Drosophila melanogaster: one gene and its partner. The protein of the gene in region 1 purifies or fractionates together with the protein of each later gene. This does not show direct contact. Each region holds a gene or a part of one and is shown in the gene's direction. Other genes may lie near its edges.

What was found. The genes of interacting proteins can lie anywhere in the genome.
Region 2: the proteins of l(3)mbt (region 1) and Lint-1 purify together in Drosophila melanogaster (affinity purification with mass spectrometry; 2 studies listed by BioGRID, with this or other methods). This does not show direct contact.

Annotation. Positions count from the first base shown.
Region 1 is NT_033777.3:27,271,450-27,275,206, reverse strand, and holds the start of l(3)mbt (lethal (3) malignant brain tumor), read left to right. Parts: upstream 1-1,933; 5' UTR 1,934-2,196; intron 2,197-2,265; 5' UTR 2,266-2,366; intron 2,367-3,010; 5' UTR 3,011-3,433; coding exon 3,434-3,757. Other genes in the region: CG5934 (uncharacterized protein), read right to left, coding at 892-1,244, 1,322-1,376.
Region 2 is NC_004354.4:11,147,338-11,151,094, forward strand, and holds the start of Lint-1 (l(3)mbt interacting protein 1), read left to right. Parts: upstream 1-1,985; 5' UTR 1,986-2,376; coding exon 2,377-2,514; intron 2,515-2,587; coding exon 2,588-2,623; exon of another isoform or gene 2,624-2,867; intron 2,868-3,298; coding exon 3,299-3,757.

The DNA of each region.
Region 1 (3,757 bases):
CGAGCGGGAGGGGAAGATACAAAATAGAAACTGCAAATACAAAGGAAGGCCAACTAAATGTTTGCGTTCCATTAATGGCCACTAAAATTGGAATTTCCTACTCAAACAAACATTGTTAAAAGCAAAAACCACAGCGCAAATGTTTTGTTTTTCCCCACACACACACAGCTAGAGCACCAAGTCACACACACACACCTTGCAGTGTATTTCGCAATCACTTTTGTTGCACGTTCAACTGTTCTGGTGTAAGCACGATCACTTTTCTTGTTTTTCCTATAGTTTTGGACTGGTTTTAAAATGTTCCGAGCAGAGACTACGACTTATACACGCTTTCTACGTTATTCGAATACGAAAAGTCACTGCTCAATTTGTTGTTGCACGACCACGACGAACAGCTGGCCGACCAAAGTTGCCAGGCCGTTGTGTAGGTAGGCAGTTCAAAATTTTCAAATAAAATGTGAGCAGGTGTTTTTCTAATAATTGCTAAGATTTATACAAATAAATACATTTTATTATTTAATTAAAAATGTCACTCTGTTGTAAGTTTTGCAATTCGATCATGGCTATTTAGTAAAGCGACCTCTAAAAGCAGCTGGATTGGCAGTGCTGCCATCCCGTTTTCCTTTTCAAATTCTTAAATTGCGTGGGGTATTATTGATTTATTAATTATCTATATAAATTAATTACTTCTATGTATAAAATACATAGCGCGCCATAAGCTTAAGCCTAAACAAATACAAATTCGACAATCGGGCAACTGAAATAACATTGCAATAGCTTAATTTCGAGTGTTACAGATTAAAATATACATGTAGCTCTAGCGTGAACGAGAAGGCATATTTGAGAAGGTTTTTGGTTTCCAGTACCGGTGGGTCGATTGACTATAGAAGATTACTTCTTTTTGGCCGCACTGGGACTGGTGGACTGGAACACCGATGAGGCCGACATCAGGTTCTCGATGTACTGGCCGAGCACCTGGTTCTCGGAGCGCAGCTTCAGATTTTCCTCCTTGACGGAATCGACGCGTTGCGACAGGTCGTCCAGGGTGTTCTGCAGCTCCAGGACCTGTGTGATGAGGCGGGCCTTCTCCTCCCGATCGTCCTGGGCCATTTCCATGGCCTCCAGCGAATTGTGCGATGAATCTGGCGTGGAACTGCGGTTGGTGAACGATGAACGCAACGAGTCCATGGACCTCCCACTGGGCATTCGTCCCGTCGCCGGTGGCTCGTCGTCCGGAATGACCACTGCGTTTTTGGGGGGGATTAGCAATTGATAACATCATCACTCGGGACTCCACCCACTCCCTCCAGTTTTCACTTACCCTGTGGATCCTCGTCCATGTTGGGAATGCTGTCGTCATTGTTTAACAGGGACATGGCTGGCAGTGTTCAGGGGTACTCTTTATTCTATAAAACTTAAACTCTATTCACTTTTGCCAAATTTCTCTTAACAATTGACACGAAAATAAAACTACCCTTTGGGAAGTTGGCCAACACTAGCTGCTGGCGCTGCCGTTGTTTAGTATGAGCGGCGTTTTCCAGTACTAACAGAAGTTTAAGGAGAAGAAGAAGAAGCTGTATTTTGTAATCTTTGAAGCAATTAAATATTGATAAAGTTGCTAAGTTAATGTGCGGTTTTAAATATATACAACTATTCAGAGGACAAACTCTTTTCGTTAAAATTGTTCCGAGAAGGTAAAAAGCTCTGTTGGATATTGCGAAATTTTCCTCTGCACTTATTTTACAATATCAGGTACATGTAAAGCCATCGCTTGATATTAATTTAAGCATTTAAGGCTGCTAAGTAGCGTATTTCCAAAACAGTTAACACCAAACAAGAAAGGCTTCGTTTATTTACCATTTTATTTCCGCCTTTTCAAAATAACCGACATCGGGCGCACACGAATCGGCAACCAGAGTTGCCACCTGAGCCGTTCGATCATAGAAATTAAAATACACACATGCTTTTGCAGTTTTTAATATTGTTGAACGACAGAACGCTTCCGTTTCGATGGCACTGCGTAATGTTTCGAGCTGCTTTAGTTGGCTTACCTGGTGAAAAATGTGCTTAAATTGTTAAGATTTTCCGCCCGATTTCGCTGGCCATTCGTTTTTGCCTGCATTTACGAGGTCGAACGAGCAGTAACACCCTCGCAGCAACAAACTGCAGTTCAATCGAATCATACGGTTAAAGCAGGTAAGCCTACATATCCTGGCCCACCTTTCGACACTCGCGACCTGACTTTCTGAACTTCTATCATTCCAGCCGTGTTCGGCAAGCCAACAGCATCCCGATATCCTGGTTTCCGCCTCCTCCGCGGCTGTACATTTCATTTCGCTCCGCGGGCAAAAACGAATCGCGTGCGGGTAAGTCAACAGTTGGATCCTGGCAGCGGAACCTGTAGACTCTCTGAAAGTGAAAAATGAAGACGCATTCCATGGGCCCTAGACCAAATTCCCTGGCCAGTGGTTCATCCGAACCAAGATAAGAGGTTTCAGTTATTGTGACATTGGGTGGGCTGCTACGTAACATGGGGCTGGGAGATCGGATCGGTTTAGCCATCAAGGGCTCGTAAATGTGGTCGTGAGATGGGATTCAAAGCCCAGAGGAGCTATTTTTAGGTTCTAGTCGTTTTTGAGATAACATAAATCTTTGGGCAGCATAACTAAAAATGGTATCAAAATTCAATATACGTGCAGTGTGGCCGTACTGGGGCAACGAGGTTTTGCCCAATGGCCGCGGGTAAATTGTAAAAACAAAAAAAAAAAAAAAGCAAGCGCAATAAACAGAAATATTAAGGTAGGATAACACAGGTATTGTAACTAATGACTTTAAGCTGCTAGATATTTCCCTTTTTATTGGGACAGATGGCGATTGGCTATTAACAGCGAATATGCATACAAGTTGCAAAGCAACTGCTACCTGCTAGCTATTTTCTGATTACCATGCTTTTGCAGCTTTAAAATCCTTATATAGCATCCAAAACTAAATCCAACTTAACCTTTTTCAGGTAATAACAAACCCAAAGTAACCGTAAATATTTAAAACTAATTCGCAATCTGTGCATTTAAATACCAAATGTTGGTATATTATCAGAACCGAGAAACACGAACAATGAGAGCAAGGAAACGCGCGAAACAATAACTTTAATTCAAAAACTTAACAATTTCTGCGATTTTGATTAAGAGAAAAGTGATTGATGAATATACGGATATAAAGCACAAATCGCGCGATCGAGAACATAACAAATTGCCAAATAGTTTTGTGAAAAGGGGGAATACAAAAAAATACTAACGCCGGTGTGGAGTGTAAAATGCCAAAAACTTTTGTGCGCCTCAACGTACAAACATTGTAAAGACAAGAATATAACTTCGATTTCCGCTGGTTAAAAAAGAAATCAAAAATCCATAGCTCTAAGCATAAACGGCTCAAAATGCTGCCATTGTCGATGGCCAGTGCGGAGGCCAAGCAGCTCCAGCGCAATATATCATTGTCCATGTCGCCAGCGAATGGAGGAGTCATCTCACCATCTACCGCGAATTGCAATGGTGTTGCCTCTGCCTCCGGCGGAAATCCAAATCCCAACAGCCTCCTCACACTAGCTCCGCGCAAGGAGGAGCTACGCTTCCTGCCCCTGGCGCCCATGGGCGGCAACAAGACCTGCAACATCACCATCAGCAATGTCCAGCCAATGAAATCCAAACTAAAGTCGGTCAACATAGTGCCAAATTCCATAAAGTCCGCTGGAGCTGGCGCC
Region 2 (3,757 bases), on another chromosome or scaffold:
TTAAAAGAATTAAAGCAAACTACCAAGTTCATCAATAAAGATGACCATATTTTCAGCATGAATCAAGATCAGTTTCATCAATTTGAAATGAGGTGAATAATTTGAATGGATATATTTCGTAAAACGCTGAAAAAGGCATTTGATGACTCATTCCTTTTGGAGACTGAAATGAGTAACTTTTTAAGGATGGCAAGATTGTGAAATTCCTGCGCATCACACCACTGGTGCTGCCCATAAAAGCAGGAAAATTCCTTATTTTGAGTGCCGCCTGTAACGCCGGCAAATTACAAGCACACACACGCACGCATGCACTCGTATTGGTGAGAACCTGTGGACGCTGCGAAGCGCGCCAAAAAATAAAAATGCCGACATACAAATAGTGCAGCGTTTTCTTAGCTCATTTGCTGGCTGGCGAACAGCGCAGCAGTCGCGATTCACGTGAAAATCGCCAATCGCATTTATATATTCTAAATAACAAATCGAATTCTAACACACATACGCACCCACACATGCACACGCACACGGACGACGAACAGACGCAGACAGACGACGACGCCGACGTCGCCGCCGGCAGAAGAAACATGAAGCAAATTCATTGCCGTTTTTTTTTTTTTGCGATTCATGTTTAACCTCACAAAATGCGAATGGCATGGCAGTCGGCGAGAATGTTCCGATGGCCAAAGGACAAGGACATTTGTCCTGCTTCGGTGTGGCGTACGGAGGAGCTGACAGTCCCAATTGGACGGCGCTTTTCCACTGCAGAGCTTGCCATGAGCCGGAAAAGGAGGGATAACAGCACGAGGCGGCACCACGTCGTTTTTCTTTTTTTTTTGTCAGCGAAATCTCTGGAAGCTCTATACGCCACTTGTTTTGTACAACTCTAGCCGGCAATCGGGCTTGTTAACCGGCTGGACTTGGTGGCCGGAAGCCGGGTGGGCGGTGGCCGGGTGGACAGACAGCAAAAGCCGCTGGGTCGGGAATAAAGCACACAATTCCAGGCGAAGCGACGCCGTCGTCCATATTGCATGCGAATTTGGGGCGTCACTGGCGTCATGCCGCACAGCACTTATTCACATCACGGTGGCGAATTAGCCAGGCTGGCAGCGAATTTGCACACAATTTAAAGCCCATTTTGTAGTTCTACTTACATTTTGCTCGAAATTCCTAGAAAACCACAACTTTCTTTTTTGCCGAAACACAATGCAGTGCTGCCAGATTTGAGTGATAAATGAAGTATAGCTGTTGCCTCGATGTTTTCGTTATCGGCCAGTGTGACCGTGCGAGCATAGAGAGGTTCCAAATTCTGGCGCTTACTTATATACCATCCACACCATTTGCAATTATTTAATATAATATATTAAATATATGGCTTAGTAGATATACAGAACACGTGTAGTAACAAAAAAAAAAACTGTCTATCAAATTGTAATGAAACTTTTTGAATAAATAATAAATAAAATTACGAAACTTTTGAGATGCCGTACGACGGAATACGCTCTGTGAGCTGAGTTAAATAATAAATATAAATAATAGTGCAATGTAATAAAATAAATAATAATAAAATAAAGTCAGCGGAGAACTCTTATCGTTAATAGGGCGGTTCATGATATTTATTGGCTGTAGTACTGGAGAAGGTGGCATTTAAACTCCTTCCACTTGTAGACGATTTTCTGCAAAACTGTAGATAAATTTTTGATGAATTTTTTAAGGATCATTACTTAATTAGGCCTACATAAGCCTATAAGCACGGCATTCCGGAACACGCTCTGTCAACAACACCAAACATAAATGACTTTCATGGGTACTTTTTTGTATAGGCTTGTTCATATTTTGACCCATAAAAAAAAAAAAAATAATAAAAAACTTTCCAATGTTCAAAAATTTCACCGTTCCGCCATCGACTCTAACTCATCGACGCTAATTTGATGGTCTTGCGTGCATTTTGGAACACTAAATAACGAAAAATTAATTTTTAAAAAACTTCCCCATGTTCAAAAATTCCACCGTTCCGTCATCGAAGTTATTGACGCACATCGTCCTTATTTCTCCAAATTCATAATTAAACGCATATTAAGATTAAAAATTCGCTACGAGAACGAGCACATGTATTCATCTATCTGGCAACGCCACCAGTTGATGCAACACATTTTTATCTTAAATTGCGAAGTTCCTCGGCCAGATATCAGTTACGAATGTAGTGATCAATCTATCACATTTTCTAACCACATTCGGTTTCAATTCCCACCCCACTCCCTTTCGAAAATTTGCCCAAAATTCCCACAAGTGCATCAATTGCAACGCATCCGAAATCAGTCGCGTGCGTGATTCGTACGATAACCGTCGTTATATATATAGCGTCAATATAATCGGAACAAGATGAGCAAGTACCATAAGGAGCGCAAGTACGCCAAGTTCAGGTACTACATGGAGAAGTACTACGTGCTGCCGCTGGAGCTGAAGAACGACATCATCTACTGCCAGCGATCGCTGCGCGATTTCCTCAAGGTTCACGCGGTAAGTGCACCATGGCTCCTTGGCGAACACCAGTTAATTTGTTTCCTTTGTCTCTGTTCTCTCACTTACGCAGTTGGTCTCGGAGGTCTTCGATGAGCAGGCGGATGCGGTGGGTTTAATGCCAGAAGACTGCAAGTCTTTGTCCTTTGTTCTCTACGCCACGAGAATTCCCGATTCCCCAGGGTGAAGGTGTTCGCCCGTAGAACACCACCCAACCCCCCTCCCACTACACACAACCAAAAAAAAAACCAAAACAAAGAACTGTATGTAGATGAAGCTATGAAACGTAGTACTTAGTTTAGTTTTTTCATTTCAAAGAAACTGATGTACTCGCGATAATTTTCTAGAGTTGGGTTAGAAACATGAAAGAGGCAACTGCGTTTTAAGCAAAACTAATAATGCACAAAAATTGGGTCAAATGTTTTCATTTCCAAAGGAACCACGTTCGCATCTCTGAATTTTTTCGAAATTACTTTCACTTTTTTTTGAAAAGAAGACATATGAGAATTATGTATATGACGAAATCCATCATCTATATGAGCAAATATTGCTGATTTCTTAACAGCATTAATGCGCATATTCTTTAATGCCGCTTTATTTCAATATTTTTCCAACGTGCATCCTTATCCATCAATCTCAACCTCATTTGTGATTGAAATGTATTCCCTTTTTTGCTCAGTGCTTGTGGTCATTAGCGTTTTTAATGGCCATTAGCACCTGTGCAGCTTCCACCTAACAATCCCAGCCACACCTAATGTGACACTCACGTTCTTGTCGTCATTAGGATCCAGTGCAGATGCGTCGCATCTTGGACGAACTGGAGGAGGAGGTGTACGAGATCAATGCCGAGCAGCAGTTCCTTCTGCTACGCCTCAACGATAGCCTACAGGAATTCTCCGTGAAGCTGAAGGAGAACAACATCATGTTCCTGCCGGACATCGCCCATGAGTACGTTTCCGCCCAGGTAGTGCCTTTGATCGTCGATCCCAACTATAAGATTATGCCACAGTCGGTGATGGCTCGTGATACCGAGGAGATGCTTATTCGCAAGCACTTCCTGCTGAGCCAGGACGATGATTCTGGTATGCCGCCGCTTAAGCTCAGCGAATTGGATGAGAATATACCATTGATGCTGGCTCCGCCGGTTAGGGGATTGGGTCAGCAGATCGCCGCCGTTAAGCCGGAGCCAGAGTGGCTCCAAGGCGATGAGGCGACAGTATCAGTGCCACCGCCGCCGCCACAA